2 linked regions of the Oreochromis niloticus genome follow. Each later gene encodes a partner of the first gene's protein in a complex. Links are inferred from orthologs where the notes say so. Each region holds a gene or a part of one and is shown on either strand. Other genes may lie near its edges. The genes, in order: dffb and dffa.

Region 1 (12,618 bases):
TGTCAGTCCTTTTGAAGCACCTTCTTAGAACTAACTCCCTGCTTGCCAGGACCAGAAGCTCACCATTTTGGGGTACAATGCAAACTTGCATAAATTAAAATGAAAATGCAACATGCAATGTGGAATTTCAATATGGCATCCAGTCACAATCACCGCATGTAGCAGTCTTTGCAAACTAAAATAATGTATTCATGTAATACATAAAAGACACATTACAGCCACTTCAGTTGTAAATCATTTAACATCCAGTGTTAAAGTAGCTGTTAAGATGAGATGGCTGACTGGCGGATTAATCTACAAGCAAATCTAACAGCACGTCGTGATTTAACAAGACGTCTCTTTTTAAATCTCAGTAATGGCTGAAATATAAAAGCTTGAACTTTTTCACCGCATGCACACTTACATTAAAAAAGCGATTTAAGCAGGTGGGTGGGTAGATGTGTGGATTGACGGCACAGTTACATTTGAAATAAAATACTGTTTTTAAATCGAGGGGATTTATCAGATTCAGCTCTGATCTTACTTCTGGTTTGAAAGTAGAAAGGAGGCTTGACATTACAAGGAAAATTCCAACGCTGCCAGCACTGATATAAAGTGAACCTTTAGTAAACTGCATGGTAGGGGCATTAGATGTTAAAACATCGGTTGGAGCTTCACTGGCAAAGTATCCTCACACCTAACCAAAAAAGCTCTGGTGATGCACAAAAAGCTACTTGTTGCCATCATGAATTTACTCACAGTACAGGAAAGTCGCTGGTGGGTTCCTGGGTGAAAAGAAGATCTTTCCATTTGAATATATGGATTCTTTCATTGATCCACATATGAAAATTGGTCTCTGTCTTAAGTATTTGGAGCAGCGTGCAGAAACCATGAAGGGCCTAGGGGACTAACTCCAGACATCAGCCACTCAATCAAGATTTGACCTGGTATATTTCTCTTGTAGGAAACCCACCCAACGGATAAAGATCATCCAAGTTGCAGTGCACTTCAATATCAGTGTGGTATATTTTATCTTTTGTATCTCAAGTCTTTCTCTGTCACGACATTCCCTTCGGTATTTTCAATAAGAAATTGAAAATTTCATCATCAAAGCAGATCTTTACACCATGCAGCTTGACATCAAAAATACTTTTTTGTTCCCCGTTTTTGTTCCCCTTGATTACAGAGAAGAAAAGACTCAAAGACTCTGAACAGACTGAAACCATGTTTGGGGAAAAAAGAAAATGAATCGTAAAGACTAAAGCGCAACAAATCTGACCTTTGACTGAAACTGCATACAACTGCAATCCCAAGTCAATAAAAAAAAAAAATTAATACATGTGCTAAATCACACCAAGCATTACATAAGTACTTGTAGCTGTCCCAAAGGGCGATCTTAGTTATGTTGCACCCCTCTGCAACTCTGTTTTCCGGATTGACTGACTTTAACTTCGCCAATCAGAATAAGCCCTCACTGGGTTGTCAGCTCACTAAGTTAACCCAGGGTTTCCCGTGCAGGAGACCAACTGGCTAACCAATTACAAGCATGGCTAAGTGTACTGGCAGCAGATCAGCTGACTGTTAAACAGACAATGCAGACTGAAAGCAACACATCTGCTACAGAAAAAGCAGCAGAGTGTGTGTGTGTCTGAGAGAGAAAGAGAGAGAGAGAGAGAGAGGGACAGCACTATACAACAGTTTAATACTAAAAGTCCTATATAAACACGTGAGCGCTTTAAGTGCTTTGCAGTCAATAAGACTGGACAAGATCTATTATAGTAATAAAGTCTACCGTATTTGAAGCCTGGGAAGAGAGCTGGCAAAAATACTGATTGTATAATTTAACAGATTTATCAGTATCACAGCTCTATCATTAGGCCACAGGAGAATCTGATGGAATATAATTGAGTACTTAATTCAATTAATTTTTAAAAGACAGGTTTTAGCTTTTATTCTTTCAGCTGCAGTCTCAGTGGTGTTTAAGAGTTTGAGACCAACTAAAGAATAAAAATAAAAAACATGTAGGAAATTTGATACAAGAACCACAAATACAAAGGTGCTCTGTTTTAGGGTTATATAGTTATGCTTATAGAATACGATTTTTGTGAAATCAATTGAAGCCAACAGGAAGAAAAAAGACTGAATAAATGTGAAAGTCTAGAATCTGAAGTTATTACTAATTCTTACTGGGGGAAATTCATAGATATGAGATTTTATTTAAAAAAAACTTTATCCCATCCTACTATGTGGGCACAGTGGGCAAAGGCTCATCCAACAATGGTGTCGCTATTTTCCAGAGAATTGAAGGGTCAGGAGGCAAACTCAGGGTTAATTAAGAAGTTATCTGGATAAGACAAAATCCTGCTTTGTACTACAAGCCTCTGGTATCTTCTGAGATTCAATATCTCACTAGCACAACACAGTAGAGTAACACTAAACACCCAGTAAACAAAAAAAGAGTGTTTTGGTTGGGAAGCTGGCTTCCAGTGTGCTGTACTGTAATTCAGTCCAGGCAGAAATGCTACCATGGCCAAAGACTCCCCACAAGTTACTTGGCCCATTTTATAGTTCACTGGGTCTTTTGCAGGTTTTGTGTATCAATTGCAAACAACCTCATGCTGATTTCTTAGCAGGACTGCTGAACTTGTTGATTGCACAAGTTAAATCCATGATGACAGTTACAGCAAGGTAGCAGAAACGTTTGTTCTTGTTCACTTGTGTGCATGGGCAGATAACTAATGAGTTGCAACTGCAAGCACATTAAATGAGGTACCCTGCTATGTGCACTATTAGATGTTAAGTTTTCTGTAGCTAGTACACAGTCTTGAGTGAAAAGAGTTGATTGATTTTTCAATCACATCTGTTCAGAGAGAGTGTGAAGCAGAGAAGGCTGAGCCAAAGTAGCACAACACACCAAAGTCTCCACAATGTTACACTGCCAGCTTTTTTTTTTCTTTTTTTTATGATTGGTTGTCACACAATCATAGAAAGCAAATCACAGCATCTCCAAGGGCAATGGCTTACTCAAAACCCCCCAGCTGGTGCTTAGCAGGACTGCTGAACAGTTACAAATGGACATCTTTCTTTTTTTGCCCTGCCGCTGTCGGTCTCATGCGGTCACTCACACTTATTTCAGCCTGTTTGGACTTCACCTAATGGCCCAGAAAGGGCAAAGCTCTCATGTCATTCGTTTCTAGATGAAACTAGCTCAAACACATTTGCTTGCGGCTGAAAATTCCCTCACTTTGCACAGAGGTCATTCTGTCTGAACCTGACACTCAAAGTAATACAAAGTATTGAGAAACATGATGATGTTGCACTACTATTTTTGGCACCATAACACATTAATTTCAGCAGGCAAACTTCAGTCTCACTGATATGGGGAGAGGCGATCACATACTTCTGAGATATGCATCTGTCTGATCCTCCAATTGGCTTTGGCGCTGCTGGATGAGCTGTGCGGTTTGTCTTAGTTCATTAAGCTAAACAACTTCACACTGTATATTACTCCACACAACTTTAACCTGGGCACACTATCCAAAGTGCTAGTGTGGGCTAGTGTGGGGTATTTTTGAAATAAAAAATACCCCACATAAAGATTAGGCAACATCAAGTAATAAGCTATTTATTACACTTCACCACATTATATACAATTACCACTGTCAGACAAGTAAAGACTAGTAAATGAATGAGTAAAAGGTCTTTCTAGCAATACTGGACATAATATGTGGTTTTTCTATAATGAATGACATGTTTTTGAGTTATTACAGTTTCCAGGACTAACTGATCACTGCCATAAAGTGGCACACATCTGTAATACAATCATGATATTTTCAATGAAACTTTGTCTCAAAGTTCTCTCTAATAGTAAGTTTTTACCTCACAATGAAATTAGCTCTTCTTCAACTTGCAGGGTGAGAAAACAGAGTCGAAGTCATCAAATGCAACTGGAATCACTTATTGGCAATCACTTCAGTTTGTAATTTGCTGTGCTTTAGCTGACAGGATCCTCAAGAGCATAGCAGAACTCAGGGAAATCAATGCTGCTAATTTAAACACGGCTAATTGGTAAAGCTTTTGAGTTGCTTTTAATTAAATAACGGTTGCCCTAAATGAATGGAATTTATGCATGAATACACATTGATTTTACTACATAATCATCTACTCGCTGTTTGCCAAAATAACATGAGAGGGGTTTTTAAAAGAGCCTATATATATGGAACAGCTGTGTGCTGTTTGGAGTAAACTTGTTTCAGTGGGATGTCTGTTAGAGAAGAGTTACCTCATTGAAAGTTATCTTGTTGTTTTTTATTGTCTGAGGTGAGCTCTTCCATGTTTTCCCAAAAAAGTGCTGATGATTTCTGTCAAACAGCGTTGCCCGTAGTTGGTAAGTCACACTTTGTTCTCCCACTGCCTTCTCCTATGAGCAAAAAGGAAGCACATGCATCTTAGGAAAGTCACTGTTAACAAGTGAAGAGTTAAACTTAAATCCTCCTTTATGACTATTATCCAACTTCATGTAAAAAACACCCCAGAATGAGGTTCCCAATATCTGAATGCTCAGTTTTGCATCCCTGTAACTGATAATGCCAGCAAGTAGTGGATGTCAGATTCACTTTGGTACTGTTTGATGCTCTATATATAGACCGAATTTACTAATAATCCCATGACACTGATTGTGTGTTTGATTAAAAAAAATGTATGGTTGCCTTCAAATATAACATTTTTCAAAGCTTCGCGAGATTTCTTCAGGCGCACTTTCACAGAGATGGATACTGAATAGGCCTTATCGTGTCTTTTATTTTGACAGTCAACGCAAAGTCAAGCTCACAGATTAAAATACACTGAATTTAGGTTTGCTAAACCTCTAGTGAATTGCTATAGCAGAGTTGTTTCTATGTTTTTAATCAGCACTGAAAGCTAACTGTAAACGGTCACCTGTGGTGGGAGGTGAGTTGCAGTGACACGGTTGAGGGTGAGCTGGAAGCCGTGGGACTGGGTGAAGCGGCTTTCCACAGCCAGCCTTACGGTCTGGCTCTGCGGGGGAACCACCCGGTTCCTCTCAAACACTTGCTTCCATTCGTCCGCCATGCTGGGTATGTCTTCTATTTTTACCATGTCCTTTAGTTAAAATAAGCATTACCCTGACATTGCACAAAAAAACTCAGAAATGTTGAACGCAGCCAATGTTTTACTCTGAATTCAGTCTTCTCCATCCGTTCAGATGGCCGCCATATTGAAATCAGATTCTACCATTTAGTACAAAGGGGGGGATATGTAATAAAATATTTCATCAGGAGCGTTCACGAATGAGAAACATTATTTGAAAATATACTTAGTAAACGAATTGTATTTTCTAACGCAAGTCTACATTTTATTCCCGAAATTTAAAATCTACAGAAAATTTCGCATTGGCCGCCTCTAATCGTTCATACCTTTCAGTTGGTATTTCCCATCGTGCTGCGTCAGTTGCTATGGTAATACTCATCTTTCCATTTAGGTCTTGTATGAACGTCAGCATCTCCAATTTAAAGTTATTTTATTGCCACACTCGCAATATAAATTTTATTTTCTTTTTAAATATACACATGTAATAATTATCTTTTATATATTAGTAGAGTATAATTTGTAGGAGGAGCTTTGGCTGTAGTCTTAAGCTAATAAGGCGAATACATAAGGAGCTAATTTTGGGGGGTGCTTAGACTCAGTTCCCCCAGAAGGACACATGCTGCCCATTCTCACAAAACACTGCTGTCTAAAAACAAAAGACAGAAAAACAAATTATGCACCGAAAAGAAAAGAGAATGTCTGGCCCAGTGATAAAAAGCTGGCAGTTTGAAAGAGGAAGACAAAAACAGAACTGTGGGAATCCAAAGAAGATTTCAACAGGGATAAAGACAGATGTGTGGCTTGTTGTCAAGTGTTGCATAGCCTATATAAACAGTAACGCTAATAAAGCCATTTGAATTGCATTATTATTGTAATCACTAATATTCACAACGTGTACTTGATATTCAGTGTGTCTACTACAAGCGGAATGTTTTCCCCATGAAGATATTATTGTAATGTAAAAAAATATAAGTTACTTCCACCACCAATCACGCCACATTAGCAAAGAAAATAAGGAAAAGCACCAATAGGCGGCAGTCACACACTTCCGCTGCTGCTCCGAGCCTCAAGAGGAGGAAGAAGAAGGAAGCGGTAGGTACAAACCGAAAACAAAACAGCAAAATGTTCGGGAAAATTAAACCTGTAAAAGTTAGGAGCTGCAGTGAAAACAGGAAATATGGAATTGCCGCAAAAGATGTGAAGGAACTACTGAAGAAGGCCTGCAATTTGCTACAGGTGAGCCTTGTGGGAATTAGTTAGTTTTTAACACCTTACACTGCTGTTCCGCTTTTTTATCTGAGAGAATGTGACATAAACGTCATTGCTGCTAGTAAACAAAAGAAATTACGCTTTTATTTTTCCTAATTAGTAGTAACTCGATACGTGATTGGTTTGGTCCAAGATCATCTCCACTGTGAAGAAGTTACGACATAAAATAATTTTCGCATCATTTTTAGAGAACTCGGTAAACAGGATGTAAGTGAAAAAGCAACAGTTATGTCACGTTCAGGTCAAAGTGACATGTAGCCTCTACGTTCATATTTCAAGATGCTTTTTGATTGCATTTAGATTAAATTCTGTTTATGATAGGCTGGGAGCAGAATTCGTTCATTATTGAGTATGGCCTCGGGCACATTTTGTATAAACTAGCTGAAACAAAGAGGAAATGATCTGTTGGTGGAAATCTGTACTACAGGGATTTTGTTTAATTAGAGTTTACATCGGATAAATGAATCCATTTAATCTGAACTGACTCTCACAGATGGCTCTCTTATAAAATATGTCAAGTTTACAGATTAGTTATCTGGTCTAAAAAGCTTCCACTTCTAGTCCACACAACACATTTGTCATTGGTGTTTTTACCTGTTATGTTCTCCACGAGTCCAGGTGCCACTCTCTGGTGCACGTGTTTGCTTGTATGAGGACGGGACAATAGTGACGGAGGAATTCTTCCCAACTTTGGCGGATAACACCGAATTGGTTCTTCTATCTAAAGGGCAGACGTGGAGTGGAGGTAGGAGGATCAACACCAGACAAGTGTTTCAACTGTAAACTTGTGGTTTTATTCTCCCAGTCAGCTAAACTGCTGGATGATTGTGATGTTGCCTAATCTTTATGCATCTGATTTTTAGTTGTGTGCGACATCAGTCAGCTACTCGACACAGACCGGCATGCCGACAGCCTCATTGAAGCAGCGAAGGGGCTCCTCTCTGATGAGAAATCTTCAAAGAGGCGTAAAATCCTGACAGACCTGCTACAGAACCTGGAGGATAGGTCGGAGCTGGAGAGCAGAGAGGAGGATGAAGGCTGGTTCCAAGGTAGCAGCCTTCATCCTCTTGGAGAAGCGCTCCTGGTTTTGTTTTAGAGTTCCTGTGACTTTTCCTGTCGTGGCTTCTTTTGAGGTCAAACTCCCAGCCTGTCTGCACGAGGCTCAAAGAAGTACAGTTAGGCCTGTAGGAATTTTGACAGTGACAGTGTTTCGTGAATTTGTCTCTGTGTTCCACCACAGTGGATTTTAAAGCAAACAATCAAGATGTGATTGGAGTGCCGACTTTCAGCTTTAATTTAAGGGATTTAACAGTCTTGCTGAGCCTTGACCTAAGCGGGTCATGAAGGGTGGAGGCTGCCCCGCCCTACTGCTCTCTGCTGGACTTTGCTACTTCTTCACATGTACTGTGAATAATAATATAAATTATAATAATTAATAAATAAATAGATAGATAAAAAACAAACTTTTGAGCCTGTGAAAATGGGGCTTATGTATAAAAAGGACTTGAATTCCCAAACAGTTAATGCAACACTTTGCTCAAACCCCTTGAAATAAAGCTGAAAATTTGCACTTTAATCACATTTTGATTGATTTTAAAATCCATTATGGTGCTGTACACAGGCAGTATTACAAATACTGTGTCAATGTAAAGAAATCCCTTTAAAAAAAGCACTATAAGACATGTGCTACTGTTACTAGAGAACTGGGAAACCATGAATAGATTAAGTCACTCTTGTGTCTTTTTCCAGTATAAAAGCATTGTGAAGACTCAACACCCTTATATTTGGAAAATATAACTTTTGTCACAGATGTTTCTCTTGATGTGAGTCTAAATGAATCTGTTGAGCATCTTGTTATGTGTGTTTCTCTTCAGGTGTTGATTCTCGATTTAAAACAAAGTCTGCCTACATGAAGTACAACTGTGAAAGCAGGATACGCGGCTACTTGAAAGAGGTAAACTTGGGAGTCAGGTAACACTCTGCACCTGAGGTCTTTACAGGATTAATCCACAGTCAGCTGTTCTAACAGTTGTGTTTTTTGTTGTTTTTGTCAGCTGGATGATGCCACCAAATCCATACAGAAAGCAAAAGTGAGGGCAGAGTTTTTGAAAACCTCACAGAGCCTCACAGAAATGCTGAAAACAGCCAAGTACAATGGCTGCTACTTTGACAGGACTGAAAAGCAACCAGATCGCCTTTGTACTCAGGAGGGATGGTTCACCTGCCAGGTACTACAAGAATGCAAGCTGTGAGGTATTAAGAGGTCTAACAGAGTTGAATGGGCAACATGAGTTTTACACTGTCACAGGCTTTTGAGCTCTGAGGGAAAGACTCTTGAATCTGTACAGAGTAGCTGGGATCTGCTCCAACTGACTCGTCCGAGGTTAGTTGTATGTGAACAGAAGAGTCAGAGACAAAAGTGCACTGTGGTGTGAGCATCAGAGCAAAAATGATCAAAAGTAGTGTTTAACTAGGCTTAACAGTCATTACATTTAAAATGTCTCAAAAATATTAAAAGTCCAGATGTGCTTCAGACTAAGTTCCTCTTCCTCTAAATTGCGTCCTCAGGGATCATTTGATGAGAAAGTGTGCAAATCTCTTCACTCTATCAACCCCTATGGAAGCCGCGAGGGCAGGATTGTCTTCAGCACTTGGAATTTGGACCACAGGTTCACGCCACCTTTAGTTTATTTACAAGATTTTTTGGAGTTTTTTTTTTTTTTTTTTTTTGCTTTACCTCCTTTCATGCAATTCTTCAATTTGTTTCCAGGATTGAAAAGAAGAGGACAGTTATTCCCGCTCTGCTGGAAGCTCTGCAAAATCACAGGAGCACTGACATCAACCTCAACTACTTCTACCAACTCCTGTTCACGAGGGAAAACCTGAAGCTGGTCCACATCGTCTGCCACAAAAAAGGATCTCACAACCTGCAGTGTGACACCAAGAAGATCTATAATAATGCCACCAAGGATCTAAAAGCAAAGCAGAAGCCCAAAGTAAAGAAAAGGCGCATGACTTGATGTCCTGTGACAAATGAGTGGACTGTGATTTGTTTGATGAACTTGGTAAATAATTAACTCTGAAAAGAACCCATCACATCAGCTGGAAAGGTAAATTTGCCTTTGCAATCTTCTCGACGTGACTCGTGACATCAGCTTGAGCTCCAAACCCACCATGGTTAGCTTTAATTTCATAATGGAAGTGATCGACCACACTTAAGAAACCATGAAATTCATTTATTTGTTCACTGTATTGGCACTGTGATGTAAAGTACACAAATTAAGTACAAAGATGATAACAAATCATGTATTTACTCTGAATGCTGCATAGAATGTGAAAAGCAAATTGATATAAATAAGGCAGTAAATATATAAAATATTTGGACGGTTTAGAACAGTCATGTACAAAATACAGGCGACAACATCTAGTGCAATTACGGTTAGCCTCTTGGTTAGATTACATTTTCACTCAGGTTTAAATTATCCAGTCTTTCAGACTGCAGTCTTGTATGAGGAACCTTTTGTTTTTTTTAAACAACACTCTTTTACAAATTTTAGAAGAACCCTCTCAGGGAAAATTAATTCATTACATTGATTATGTATCGATACAAATGTGTTATATATTTGAAAGCTGCCAGAAACGTGAGCACACATGAGTTGAGGATGAAGAGACACTTGGTGAATAATGACTTTTATGCAGAAAACTGTTGATGATGTTCAGCTTAAGCAATGAATTTGTGCTATTAAAACTCTCAGTACAGAAGTTCATGCTCCATCCCTCCTCGTTACAGACGTGTAATCTTAACTTAGACTGAAATTGTCACTCTGTTGCTCTTGTCAGCATGTAACATTTACAATTAATCAGTTTTCATTTGTATGGGAAAACAAAACCTTAAATCCAGCATTTTTTTAGCATCTCAGAGGCTAATCTGAAGCTGCACTCAGGATTCAATTTTCTACACAATGTGCTGTAAACACGGGTGATGGTTACACCAGTTATGGCTACACCAGGTGTTATGTGAGCATACATTCAGCAAAAATTTCACAAAACATTACTGCATTTACTCACATTGGCCATTTTAATTTTATTATTGCAGTTATGACTTTTTAAAAATCTAATTATTGATTGAATGCAATGTTTGAGCAGGTAGTTTTCCAAGTGCTGAGAGGTTTAATGTCTTTTCATAAGCAGAACTTTCTCAGTTATAAGAGCGGCAACTCCTAACTAAGGCTACGTTCACACTGCAGGTGTTAATGCTCAATTCCGATTTTTTGATCAAATCCGATTTTTTTGTCTGCTTGTTCACACTACAAATAAATGCGACAGCAAACGCGCTCTAGTGTGAACGCTCGAAGCGGCCCACATGCGCAAAAAAAGACGTCACACACAACGCGCTCTGTTTAGACCCAGAGCAAACAATATTGTTTGACTTCGGACTTTACGTTTTCAAATTTTTGCTTTAAGTTATTTTGTTATTTACATAATAATGTAAATAACCTAATAATGATCCTTATTGCTGAGAGGAGCGGTGCTTCAAAGGATAGTTGCAGATTTCTGTCAGAATCTGCAGATTATACAGTACAAATAAAATGTTCACGTTGTCTTCCCAACAGTTTCACTGACATCTACACTGGATGGCCAGGAAGCGTTCGCGATGTCTTCTCGGGCGCTTCTCCGGCGCTGATAATTGGCGTCTGTCTTGTGTCAGTGACGTAAAAGACGGATTTAATGCGACATGACCGTTCAAACAGCAGTCGCTTTCTAAAACATCGGATATGTATCGGATTCAGTACCACACACGAAAGTGACCTAGATCGGATTTGAAAATATCGGATTTGTGCCGTTCAAACTGTCATACCATGATCAGATATGGGTCACATAGGGTAAAAAAAAAATCGGATTTGATGCGCTTTCGCCTGCAGTGTGAATGTAGCCTAAGTGCCCACCCCGTTGTCTCGCTGCACGCCACTGAAATCCACCTCGTCTTCATCGCTGTCCTCTCGAGCATAGTAATGTCGCCTCCTGTTCTTCCTTTGGGCGCGGCTAGAAGACGTGGATGATCTTTCAGGAAAATCCTGTAGGATGAATCCATATTTAGAATTCATTTAATGCAACATTATTTTCACAAATTGTGCTGAAGATATAACTGCAGGAATGATGGGCCTAGAGATGTGGTGGGAATGGGGGGATAGAATCTATGTGTATGGATAAAATTAAAGTTATCAGTGAGTAACAAAGCTAACTAGGGGTTGTTACTGCTCTCATATAACTCTAGCCCTGCTGATAAGAGGTTGAAATGTCAGTTTGTTTAATGTTAACTGAGTGAGACCAGAAAAAGAGAAGGAAAAAAAACTGCAAATCATATTTATTTGAGAGAAAGAATCCAAACCTCAAGGCCTCAAGGCAAACTTAAAATGATACGTTAGGGACTCCTGGCAGAGTGAGGCTTTTGTGTAACAACTCGTGGTCTTCTACTCTGCACATTATTGCCCATGTTTTGTGTTTTATTAGCAGGAAGACCCTTTTGGTACATCCAATAATGCACCAATTACTGCTGAAATTTAAACCAATTTTAAGGTCCAAATGTATAACAAGTCTAACATATCTTCCAACTCCCATGTCTATTACAAAACACCCTAGAAGAGCAGCTTTAAATGAATAGATTAGAATAATAGATATGGATGCTGATTCTTCTAAACTGATCATCAGTCAGAAGTTTTCTTTACCAAAAAAACAAAAACCTGTTTCCCCCAGGAATTAAAACCAACGTGCCTCACCTGTACAGCATCCAAGTTTCCAAAGAACTGCTCCACAGGAAGGATCTGATTACTGTCATCATCTGGGAACATGATTTTGCCTGTTTCTTCATAATCCATATGCTCAGGCTCATATTTGTCCCAGATGCTATTCATTACGCAGCTGTCTGAATCCTGTCCCATCATCAGCGCGTTCTCTTTACCTTCCTGTCCTTCATGCTCTGGTGATGCTAAGCACCTCCTCCTGCCAGAAGACTGGTGGCATTCACAGCTGATGCAGGAGTCTCTCTCCAGAGGACCAGCTGCTTTAGTGTTCCCAACTGCTGAGCTGCTCTCAGACGACGAGTTCGCCTTTGGACTTTTCACACATCTCCTCCTTGCAGCAGATGTCTATGATACAAAAGTTAAGGAACAAAGTTAGGATGATGTTGGGGTAACCACAGCGGGACTCCACTGCAGTAATCACATCCTGTTAATTTGGAGCCACTCACAGCTGTCCGGTGTA
Region 2 (12,531 bases), about 3.9 Mb from region 1:
TGTTACATTTGTGCTACACCCACGCATATGTGAGGAAAAAAAAAACTCAAACATATGAGCAACATCTGTCTGCCTGCAACTCACGGGACTCAGCAAAAGACCCATCAGGGAAGGGAGAGGTGAAATAAGGAGAGAACGATCCAGAGAACAACAAAAGGGGACAGCGGCAGCAGTGGTTCCTTCATGTCTTTGGCCACACCAATTACTGTTGGCAGGTCCTCTGCCAACCAGCCAGGTCCCCCACAACTTCTGCACTTAACACACTGTTCCTTTTATTCCCTCTCTGTAGCGAGATGGCTATTGCAGAGGGGCTACGGAAATTTGGAGACTGCTGAGCCAAAACAGATCACTTCAAAGCGGCTTATTTAACGCTTGCTAAATTTTTCATCACAGTCGCTTAATATCCTGGGGAAGGAGAGCTTTTGAAGTTGCTGTGAGACCGGGGGTTTGTTCTTCTTACCGTTCTTTTTCCCCTCCCTCTGCTGTACTAAAATCCCCAAACCTAAACACATAAAACACGCCCAGTTCACACTATCTGTGTCTACATGTGCAAAAGGTACAGAAGCACCTACTGCAAACAAAAAAACCACACGCTTTCATACCCACAAACAAATATGCACTTCTTAAACTGAGGTTTGTTTTTTTTTCAGTGCAAAGAGTAAAGAACGGGGTAAACGGTAACCTAAATCTGTAAGAATTGCATTTAGCGATGACACGTGACCCTTTAGTTTGTGATCCGAGGTAGTGAGTGTATTTCCAAAGAGTTCCGAGTTAATCGGTTCAAAGGAAATTAAGGAGCAAGAATTCTAACAAGAAATATACAACTTTAACTTTATTATTCAGGAAAATAATTAAAAACTTAAAATAAAAATATACCTTTAAAGTACACAAGTACAAAGCCAAACTGTTCTTTCATATCATATAGTTTCTAACAGGAGAAAAGAAATGTAAACATTTTAAAATATAAATGCATAAAAACTATAATGCATCTTATTTTGGGGAAGTAAATTTTAATTTTATTCCAATAGATCTGGTTAACCTGTCAAAATATCTATATTACGCCAATATATTCGCCAATTTCTTTCAGTATTCTCATTTGGTCAGTGGAATTTTTGCTCATTAATAGCATCGTCATGTGTTTGGGTGATTTTAAAGGCAGTCAGAGACAGTGTCTGAAGAAGATGAGGGGTAAGCGCAGGGTGTCACTACAGGGAGAGAGAGCACAGAGACTGGGGAAAGACTAGTAATAGACTGGCTGGGGTAATGGTCATGGCAGGGATGAGTGGAAGGTGGGAGGAGGTGGGGTGGGGATTTGAGACAGAGGCGGTCGGGGTTAGAGTGAGCAAACAGCAGTGCCAGAGGCAATAGCAGCGACTGGCAGCGACTGGTATACCAGTCAACCATGAAACACACACTCACGCAGGCTCTCCCACGCCTTCTTCTCGCTCTAACCTGCAGGTCCAGATATCCCTGTCTGGCCTGGTATAGTGGCAGAGGCTGTGGCACCGGCCCCTGAGCTGGACCCTCCTGCCACTGAGGAGGGTCCATGCCGTGCAGTGTGCCAGGGCCTGCTGATCTGGGCGAGGTGAGTCAGAACCTGTTAACATGACTGGTGTCCCCAGTCTGACATGCACATGTGCACATAGATGTTATGCAAATGTGTGTGTGTGTGTGTGTGTGTGTGTGTGTGTGTGAGTGAGAGGGAGAGAGAGAGAGAGACTGCTTTTCCTTCTTTCCTGCCCTTCCAACCCTGCCAGCACTCCCTTTCCTCTCATCCAGATAAAATCCTTTCAGACACAAATTTCAATTATTCACCTCATCCAAATAATGCCATGTGACAAGAATTATCCCTACTGTAATAATCCACTTAACTGGGAAAGAGCAGCTCATCAAAAAGAGAAAGGAGAAAAGGGGTTGGAAGTGAGGGTGGTGGTGGGACTTGTCAACCGGTCTCGAATCCCTCATAACAAGAATTTCTTCCCTTTTTTGAGGAGACAGTCTTGAAGCGCACTGGGATGATGAAATTGAAGTAAATTGAAAGAAAGCCTGGGAGAATGCTCCCACAATCAATAACCCCAGGATTAAATTAGCCTTGGCATGAAGGGATGATGGGGGGAAGATGAAGAGTGAATGGTGGTGAATGACATTGAGACATGTAGGCTGAACAATACAGCACTTCTATAACCTGCATGCTGTGCCTATACAAGGACAGTGAGTGTACCTGGGATGGATTCCATCCCACTTAGCAATTACCAAACATTCCTGGTTATAGTCATCGCTTGGGCCAAGCATGCCTTATAAACACTCTGCACATTACTGAAGAGAAAAACTGACATTTATTCTTGTTAAACACCACCTTATAACACCTTTTTGAGGGACCAACACCTTCAAGTGCCCTTTGTGTTTGCATAGGAGACTACATGGCGAAGAAACTCCAAATTAGCGACTTTCCTGACCCAATTCTGACACAGACTACAAAAAAAGAAGGATAAACAAAGAACAACAAAGATGTGCAGTCAAAGTTTTATGCTATGCATGATTAAAGAAACTGTGGAACCCATTGCTGCTGTTAAAATAGACCATTTTCCTCTCTAAAGACCAAGAACATAAAGTATACTCTCATTACAGCTTGGGGACATCATTGTGATGTATAAAGTGACTGTCTGCTAATTGGAAGCCTTTAATACTGGATCTCCCTGGGGAATGTGTAATACAGCCAAATAAAAGTCTTTAAATTATCAGATCTTAGGGGGGGGGAGAGAAAAACCATCATAATCTTCCTCAACTATGCATCACCAGATCAAGCCAAGAAATTAGAAGATTTTCATTCTTTCAAAATCGCACTAATACTTGAGTTTTTGAAAAATCCACACTTCTGAGCACTAGTATTAAGAATCACAGCGTGTGCCATGTGAGAATATCTGAAATATTATTTCCAGCCATTATGATACCCTATTCATTGCTTTTTGTTTTCTTTACAGGAAATGTAATTTAATATTTGCATCGTTTGATCCAAGCTGCTATTTCTTTCCAGCTCTCACTTACATTACTTACATTAGCTTCATTTAATGTTTTTGTGGTTACAGTCAATGTTTCCTTACCAATAATTCATGTAATTCAGACTAAGGAATAAATTCTTACCAGTTCTTCTCTGGGGCTACGTGCTCCATCTTTTCCAGGCAGAAGGCCAGGCTGGGAACATAAACAAACATTTGTATTAGAGTGCCATCTAGTGGAAAACAGAAGTAATGTCAGTTTGAAGCTTGGTAACTATGGTCGCCCTTTACAAGCACACGGTATGTAACGTTGCTGGCTCTATCTATTAAAGTGATAGTATTCGGTTATTCAGGTATGGGACACTTTTACAATAATAGGCCTCACGGCTTCTTTCAGGCATATCAACAACATTTATGCAAAGTGCTTCAGCACTCTTTCGCATTTTGGCAAATTTTTGCAAACTGATCAGGCAACTCTTACACTTAAAAATAGTTTCATTTATTAGGATCCCCGTTAGATACAGACTGAACCCTGTCAGAGCCTGTGTGAAGTACAGAACACAATATTATCTGCTGCTAGATCCTGATCAAAACTGCCTGAATTTTGGGGATAATTTACTGTGACTGAAGTTACTTCTGTGGTGTCGGGTGCATAAATGTGAGCAACTCTCGTGCATTTGAAAAGCTTTTGAATGCATTGTGCTGCTGTATGATTCTGCAGGTACGTAATAAACTCAGAAGACAGAGTTCTAGAAACAGCTGCAAGCATCAAACTAACTACCTACCTAACTTCCTGTTAGCTTCTGTCAAAAGTTAACTACAGTCATAACTCAGAAGTTTTTTAACCTGTTCTCATCATGGTGAAGAGTTTAGCTTCATGCTGTACTCCATAAACATTTCCCTATGTACAGTAACAGATGGGAAACTGTAGAAATTGTGAAGAAGGGAAAATTCACAACACAAATAAGTTGATTGTGGAAGGGTATCCATTTCACTGTGACGTTTATGGAGCAGTGCTTGTAGTAAAATATGGACAGATTTTGTTCTATGGGCAGGAAAATAAATAAATAAATAAAAAAAGGCTATTTGTCATTTCCACAAGATTGGGAAAGAAAACATTAATGATATAAATGGACTGGTTCTTATATAGTGCTTTTCCATTTGAGCACTCAAAGCACTTCATTTGCCCATTCATACAAACACTTTTTTCTAGGCCTTAGCACTTTCTATGGAACATTCACACACATTCTGATGAACACATTAGAAAGCAACTTGGGTTAGGAAATTGCTTAAGGATACTTTGGCAAGCACACTTGAGCAACAGTCTGTATGCCTACAATTAGTAGATGAGCTGCTCTAACTCCTACGCTACAGTTACTGTTTAGAGAATTTTAAAAACAATAAAAATGTATTTAAAGTGTTTATTGTAACTAAGCAACTCACACAGATGAAGGGGAAACAGAAAAACTATTGTAGACTTGAACAGGCCCATGCCTGTAATGTGAAAATGCTTCCAGCCTTATGTCACGTTGAAACTTTTATTAAAAGTGTCATTGCTACTTATATAAAAAGTAACGTCCAAACATGAAACCAGCAAATTCAAGTGGAGTCAGATAAATATTTTAGAATATATTTGAAAGCCTACCAACTTACATAACTAGACTATAGTTATAGCTTAACAGATTCTTTTACTTCCAGAAATAATTTGCCCACACTGAGAAATTTGACCTGTCTGCTACGTGAATGGCATTTTCAAAAAAGAAAAAAAGTACTGAACTGGCACATGCCAGCATTCATTTGTAGATTTGTAGAAATCTGTTGCTCATAAACTGAGTGATAACTTTACAAGTACTTGTAAATACTGTCAATCCACACAAGTTCCTTGATTACAGTGTTCCTTGACTTTATTAGTTTCTGCATTTGGTAAACACTTTCTATACACTTAAAGCCGTTAGCTCTCAACTATGTACATAAAAAAAACTTTTATATTTCTCTACAGCATATATAAACATCTTTTTTTCTGAAAACAGCATCTCAGCTGTAGCAACAAAAAGTACAGAAGTCACGGGTGACATACATGAATAAAAACCTTCGGTGACATTTGTTTTCGGGGGGCTGGTGAGTTCAAAGCCAACACTGTGACTGCAACCCAACAGAAACCATCAGGTTTGTTTGCCTACACTGACCTTTGAGTTGCACCTACAGTTATCTGCACACAGTAAGACGAGGCTACACGCTCAGATGCAATTGTACAGCTGAATCGTTTGATGACAATGGCAAATCTAGTAACTATGCCCTATTATTTTCGACACAATATGGCAACTCTAAATGACGCCCCTTCCTGCCCACTTGTAAACACACTCATGTCTCAGTGACAACTTTTGACTCGTAACCTAGCTAGCATGCTAACTAGTAGGCATGCTAATCTCTAACTTTGTGAGCATTTCCAGGCACGTGATGCCAACGTTAAGACATCTAAAGCCCCGAAATATCTAAAACAGTTCACTACCGCAAATAGACATTAAAAAGAAACCGCTTTTAATGCATATAGAGACCTGTGTTGTTGCCTCAGCTTGGTCGTTGGATGCCATCTTCTTCTTCTTCTGTTCCTTCTGCCACACTTCTTATTCTGGTATATTTCTACCACGCAACATGCTTTAAGATGCACTGCTGCCTCCTGCAGGGGAGTACGGGACACTGCAGGATGAGTCTCACTCCAAAGTTTCACTCCCCATTCTTACTGTCTGTTATTGAAACGCTACAATATAAAAGCACATCAAGTTCGGTTTCAGCTTCCTCATAGCACATTCTCATGCTCACACACCTTCAGTAGATCTTAGACTAAGACTTCTGCGTGGTCAATGTTGATGACTGTCTTTCTTTCACTGCCAAGAAAACTTATTTTTTGTAAATTGTTTTTATTTGTTTTGTCTGTTTGTTTTGTTTTTGTCATAGTAGAGCCTATTCTACCTTTAGACTTAATGTCAGCTTCATCATTTCCTCAGCTGAACCCACCCTTGCGCCTAAAGAACAAGAAAAAAAATCTATACAACAAAGCCAACAGCTTAGTCACGAGGTGTGGTAAGTCCCTACTTGTTGAAACGGATTTGCATTCAGCCACCAGATAATAGCTTAATATGGCTTTGCCCGGGGCCCCTTCAGAAATCACAATACTTAATGAATTCACAGCAAGAAGATACTACTTATTTACTCTATTTCATAAATAAGAAAAACAAATAAATAAAACTATAAAGTCATTTGCTACAGCAACCCCCTAAAAGTCAGACCCCAAAATGCTAGACTTACAGCATTAAAAGGGATTGTTTCAGGTGACATTGTGATGTAAGTGGTGCATTTTTGGACCATATAATGCAGTCTTCTTTTTCTCTCTTTAGGGGTTGCCACAGGAGATCATCTGCCTCCATTTCATCCCATCCTTAGCATCATTTCTGTCACACAACCCTCTGCATGTCCTCTTTCACTACATCCAAGAACCTCCTCTCCGATTCTCTTCTTTTCCTCTTGCCTGGCAGCTCCACATTCAACATCCTTAGTCCAGTATATCCACTTCCTCTCGTTTGCACAATGTTCAAACCATCTCAGCCTTGCCTCTCTAACTTTGTCTTCAAACTGCTCAACTTGAGCTGTCCCTATCATGTACTCATTTCTAACTTCTAGTTTCTGATTTTTAATTTCTGGTCACTCCTAATGAAAATCTTAACATCTTCAATTTTGCTACCTTCAGCTCCGCCTCCTTTGTGTGTGTGTGTGTGTGTGTGTCAGTGCCACAGTCTCCAAAGCATACAGGTCTCAGTGCCATTTTATAAACCTTTACTTTCACCGCTGTTGCTATCCAACTGTTACAAATCACCCCTGATAATCATCTCCACCCGCTCCACTCTGCCTGCACTCTCTGATTTGGATGGCTGAACCTAGGTATTTAAACTATTTAAACCCACCCCCTTTTCAGTATCTGTACTCTTGGTGGTTTCACTGTTACACAAACACACATTCTGTCTTGATTCTACTGACTTTCATTCCCCTTGTCTCCAGACCATACCTCCACCTCTCCAGGCTCTCTTCCACCTGCTCCCTAGCTATTTATTTTCACCACGCAATTAACCAACCAAATGTCTTTAAGAAAGAAAAAAAAGAAAGAAAGAACTGGACTCCACTGTCAGGCCAGACTTTTTGGTCGCCATCTAGCGGTCACTTGCGGTAGTCCACCTTTAAAACAGGAGCTCCTCTGAAGGACATGCTATTATTCTCATATTTCTTATGCCTAGAGCTTGGAAATAGTTAATACAAGATTTTTTTTTTTTTAAAAATACACTCAAATTAGCGCTATAGAGGTTATAGCGTTATATTCAAACTGTAAACACAAACGCAGTTCTTTCTCCCGCGTTTTCCTGTTCGAATTGTTTTTTTGTATGTGCTAAACTACATATCCCAGATTCCATAGCGGCGCGGCGGCAGTTCCGTATTCGAGGATAGTGGTGGTAGTTGCTGTCGGTAATTGTCAGTATTAAGGTAAAAGAAAGCACAAAATCTGCTTCTCTAAACGCAGACGAGAATGACGGATAAACCGTGTAAGGTGTGTAATTTCACACGACAAAAATCGTATGGGGTAGTAGCTCCTTCCATAGATGAGCTTAAGGAAAAAGGTAAGTTGTCATGACTTTACATTCCTGAACTTTATCATGCTAGAGCTTCTCTTTAATGAAAGCTATATATTCATTAATATTGAACGGGTGTGTGACAGTGACGTGAAGTACCGTCTCACGCAGTCAAAGGTTGTGGGTGCTGTATTTAAATGTCATTTTAGTTTGCACTGGTGCTGAGCGCTAAAAGCGGGGTTCTCTTATTGCGAAAGTGAAAGAACTTCATATGTTCAGTGATTTTTGAGAGTGTTGGGAGGCACCAACATTACAGCTGAGGTGATTATTGCTATTGCTGTCGATAAGCTTACTTATCTAGTTGTGTGTGGTAGCAGCAGCAGAAGCAGCATCTCCATTTTTATCCATCGTGTTTAAACTTGCAGAAGCTAAACATGAAAAGTCATTGCTCTTCCTGCTCATTCCTAGAAGGCTAGTCACCAGGCGTTGCCCCCAGATTTTTTTTTGCATTTTTCTCTGTTTAATAAAAGTGTTTCTACATCTTTGATTGTTATATGTGTCAGCAGAGCTTGGAGGAGACAAGGCTGGGTCCTTGATTTTGAAGCCGCCTACATGAAGATACTAGAAGTGTGTTTCTGATTCTGATAAAGTCTCCTGTAACTGCCAGTGACAAAACTAGGGTGCTATCTGAAAACCCCCCTCTTGGTTTTGAAGCTAGCTTAAAGTTATCAATTGCCTTTATTCCTATTCAATATACATAAATAAATACTCGTATATGAAATATTGAGCTGGGGCACTATTAAACTAGAGGTGCTGATTTATAGCTGTTAGAAAACATGTACAATTTTAAAAGCCAGTGGAAGTAAGACATGTTTTGTATTGCAAATAGGAGCAGCTCTAAAGAAAGGGCTGTTGACTCTTTAAATGGACTGACTTGTTTGACATGTGGAAGTATGCTGAATCACCTGATGAACAGGTGGTGTCTGAGGTATTACTGCTTTGAATATTTGACTTATGGGATACACTAATACTGATTGTTTTCCTCTGAAATATGGGCGGCACTGTCGCCTCACAGAGAGAAAGATCTGTGTTGGATTTGCTGGTTCCCCCGCCACAGTCCAAAGACACGCATGTGAGGTTAATTTGTTATGCTAAACTGGACTTGCGGCGCATCTTTCCACAACAGTCAGCTGGGATATTGAATCGGATGGATGGATAAACACTTTGAAGTATAAAAATAATCTGGGACACTCTATAATATTTGTAGTTTCTCTGTTCTTTTAACAGGTCGACAGTGTCTTGGGTTCAACTCCAGTGACTCAGTCACAGTGGTCCTAGAGAATGATGGGACAGTAGTAGAAGATCAGGCTTACTTTTTGTGTTTACCCTCAAACACAAAATTCATGCTACTGAATGACAAAGAGACGTGGTCTCCACCTTGCAGGAGTAAGCAGGTTTACTTTTGTCTGACATTTTTCTGCATCCTTTTTATCATCAATCATTTATATCCTGGGAATGCATCACCTTCTGTTAATTTGATATTTACTTTTAGTTGATGGTGGCACAGCTTGGATGGCTAGGGATTCTGTGTTGCTGGAGACTGATACTGTGGACAGCTCCAGTACTGTAGCACCTTGGTATGAACTGGCTCAGCAGCTGAAGCAGGACCTGACTAGCATTATTCTCATGTCTGAGGCGGACCTACAGGTACCAACATTATATGTCAAGTATAAGAAAGTGATAAACACTCTTTCTTTGTCACTATTTTTAATCACATAAATAATAGGTCGGGCTAATGGGATGTTCTTTTTGCTGTCGACATGTGCTGTTGTCTGTGTTTAAGTGTGTTAATCAATCTAAAAATAGGAGCCGCAAATTGTATTTTATTGTTTTACTTTGCTTTTTCAGACCTTAGTGGATGCCCCATGCCCTGAACTAGCCTCTGCTCTGGGCTTCCAAGAGAAAAAGGCCCAGGAGCTCCAGGAGACGCTGCAGAGGGTTTTAGATCGAAGAGAGCAAGAGAGGCAATCCAAAGAATTGCTCCAGCTTTACCTGAAAACTGTGGAGCAGGAGAACAGACAACAGGAAGAAACAAGTCAGCCTTCTCAGGGAGGTACGGCTGTGTCATTTTAAGGTGGTTGCCATGTTTACTGTATGGAAATAGTTTGTTGAGATAAATATATGAAAATCAGATTCCCTGATTATTGTAGTGTGACACGGATACACAATATAAACTCTGTAACAAGTTAAGTCTTGCATAGAAAGCTGTTTCTGTGTCATTATTCAAGCTGGGATACAGAAACTCTGTGAACTACAGTACTGTGCAAAAGTCTGGAGCCACCCTTTATTTCTTTATATTTTGCTTCCAGTGAGCCTGACTTTTTTGTAATTCTTCTAGGTAGCCTTGAGCAACAGTTTTTCCAAGGCTGAAGCCTTGCGCTTCAGCTTTTTTGACATTTTGCTTTGTGCATTGGCTGTTTTTTGTACTCATTTTCAGTGCAGTCCTTGTACCTGACCTTTTTTAGGGAAGGTATTCCACTGAGAGGTTTGTTAAGCCACTTAACACTGACCTATGAAACAAGCTTTAAAAGGCGCCTAACTCGAGGGATGAGCCAGCGTTTTGTCTACACATAACAGACAGCATAGCAAAGTACCAATGTTAAATTGAATCTTTGGGCACTTTGTTACTAGCAGTGTGAGGCAAAAACACATAATTTGTTTCCATTTTTTTAGTTGAATCAATGAAAATGCCAAAGGTAAAAATGTGCCAACATGGTGACTGCCAAAAACATGCCAAACCTTTGGCTTTTCTTAGCATGGTGTGCAGTGTGTTCTTAAAACATTTGAGTAAACTGGACAGTTGGAGGACAAAAGAAGTGGCAAAGTATCTACAGCAGATGAACAGTCAATGTAAGTCATGTCATGAAGAAATAGAAGAACAAAGCAGAGAGCTGACACACACACAGAGATGCTTCTGAGGTGCATCAGTTGTTCCATCTACTGTTCACAGAAGCCTCATCAGACATGGTCTCAGTGGAAGGGTGGCAGTCAAGAAGCCATTCTTATGGAAGGGAAATTGGGAGAAATGGGTGAGGTACGCCAAATTATTCAAGAACTGGAGAGTGAATTTGAGATTTTTGGTTTATATTGTCATCAGTGTCCACAGAGGAGGTCAGGAGAGGGGTACAAAACCGAGTGTCTGCAGCCGTCTGTAAAACACACTGGAAGCTCTGTCATGATTTGGTGCTGCATTTTAGCCCATGGGGTTGAGGATCTTGTCAAAAATGATAGAAATATGAACGCACAAAAGTTAGACTTTGATCCACCATGTAATAGTGTCTGGAAAGAATCAGAATACTTTAATAATCCCTAAGAAAATTATGTGGGTTACATTTGATCCAAGACAGTAACAGTAACAGACTAAACTAATTAAATAATACAATATGTTCCAAAGTTAACAAATCTAAGAAATAGCACTAACAAATACAAATCATTCAATTATAAATATCAAAAATATTACAGAGGTGAAATATATATGATTGGTATTTCCCTCTAACCTGTGAACTTTGTCATTTGCTATTTTACTGTAGAGCGTGTGCAAAAGGGTGTAACTATTGCAGTGTTTACAGTGTGTTAGATGGAGGAGTTGTACAGGGAGATGGACACGGGCAGTAATGATTTCCTGTGTCGTTCAGTGGTGCTTTTTGGTAATCTCACTTTCTCACTGAACGTGCTCCTGTGACTGACCAGCACGTCATTCATATTTTACTATGAAAATGGAAAAAGGAACAACAATTTATTGAAATGTGCAAGCATAAAAGGAAATACAGTATGTGTTTTTGAGACAGGCTGTGGTAACAAAGTGTCCAAAGATACAATTTAAAATTGATGCTCATCTAAGATGTCTGTTATGTGTAGACATAACATGCATAACTCAAGATTCATCCCTTGAGTGAGGTACGTTTTTATGACTGAATAGGTCAGTGTTATTATGTGGCTTAACAAAAAAAAAAAATTTATTTGAAAAGGGTGCTTATACAGTTCCCTCTGCGTAACAAATATGTAATCAATAGCTGTGCTCAATATGCATGAATACACCCAGCAAAATAATCAATATAGTCCCATGACTATGAAGCCCTCAAGATAAGTAATGGCCCCAGATGTAGTTCTTTAGATGAGGGTCAAAGACATCACTGACTTAACTTTAGCCAGCGAGGAGGGGTGGTCAAATCAGGAAATTTGAGAAAACAATAAATGTGAAAAGTTAATCATACATAAACTTTCTCTATATTTAAGAACAAGAGACATAAATTGACTGGTTCTTATGTAGCACTTTTGTACTCTGCCTAAGCACTCAAAGCGCTTTATACAACATGCCTCATTCACCCATTCATACAAGCAGCTTTTTTATTTTGATACCTGTTTCAATCTAACATTAACACACATTCAAACACAGAAGGGCAGCAAAATAAATAAACTAAACTTAAAATATGTATTTTTATTTCTAGGTGAGGTTCAAACAACCGCAGATGTTATTAGTCAACATGTGTTATTTTTCTGTCTTAGTTTATTTGTTATCGGTTCATTCTCTTAATTTCTCATGAGGGAAGAGCTGCACTTCTATCTTTTGGTCACTAGGTGGACCTGTTGTTGTTGTTTAATAACCCCACCTGAAGTAATGATTTACTATGTTTAAAATGTTTTGAAATGTGTTGAAACCCGTTTCAATATCTCAGGTGCTGGGGATGTGGACGTGCCGGATGGAATGGAGGTGGACTCTGCTTCTGGATTTATGTCCAGGACTTTGATGGTCCTGAAAGGCAAAACATCGCCAGAGACCAGGCTTTCCACTGGAGATCTGCAGGTAGCCTACTCACACAACTCTCATTAAGCCTGCCTCAAAGCATCAGCAAATAAAA

Evidence for each region.
Region 2: the proteins of dffb (region 1) and dffa are in contact, whole or in part, in an NMR structure (PDB 1F2R), measured with the Mus musculus proteins. The link is inferred for Oreochromis niloticus from reciprocal best matches to the Homo sapiens genes DFFB and DFFA. Residues at the interface, in NP_031885.3 of Mus musculus: Cys10, Lys12, Arg14, Ala19, Cys20, Lys21, Phe22, Gly23, Val24, Ala25, Ala26, Arg39; in NP_001020467.1 of Mus musculus: Asp66, Thr68, Ile69, Val70, Asp71, Asp72, Asp74, Tyr75, Trp94, Tyr96, Asp100.

What each region holds. Positions count from the first base shown.
Region 1 is NC_031984.2:26,361,505-26,374,122, reverse strand, and holds dffb (DNA fragmentation factor subunit beta), read left to right. Parts: upstream 1-6,099; 5' UTR 6,100-6,210; coding exon 6,211-6,324; intron 6,325-6,975; coding exon 6,976-7,102; intron 7,103-7,220; coding exon 7,221-7,406; intron 7,407-8,231; coding exon 8,232-8,311; intron 8,312-8,411; coding exon 8,412-8,585; intron 8,586-8,925; coding exon 8,926-9,026; intron 9,027-9,127; coding exon 9,128-9,377; 3' UTR 9,378-10,470; downstream 10,471-12,618. Other genes in the region: nphp4 (nephrocystin-4), read right to left, coding at 4,262-4,399, 4,918-5,097; lg20h1orf174 (UPF0688 protein C1orf174 homolog), read right to left, coding at 11,292-11,432, 12,135-12,503. UniProt on the Homo sapiens protein: Nuclease that induces DNA fragmentation and chromatin condensation during apoptosis. Degrades naked DNA and induces apoptotic morphology.
Region 2 is NC_031984.2:22,471,737-22,484,267, forward strand, and holds the start of dffa (DNA fragmentation factor subunit alpha), read left to right. Parts: upstream 1-7,440; 5' UTR 7,441-7,569; coding exon 7,570-7,660; intron 7,661-8,899; coding exon 8,900-9,058; intron 9,059-9,164; coding exon 9,165-9,319; intron 9,320-9,520; coding exon 9,521-9,725; intron 9,726-12,348; coding exon 12,349-12,476; intron 12,477-12,531. Other genes in the region: peroxisomal membrane protein PEX14, read right to left, coding at 3,142-3,192, 5,552-5,587. UniProt on the Homo sapiens protein: Inhibitor of the caspase-activated DNase (DFF40).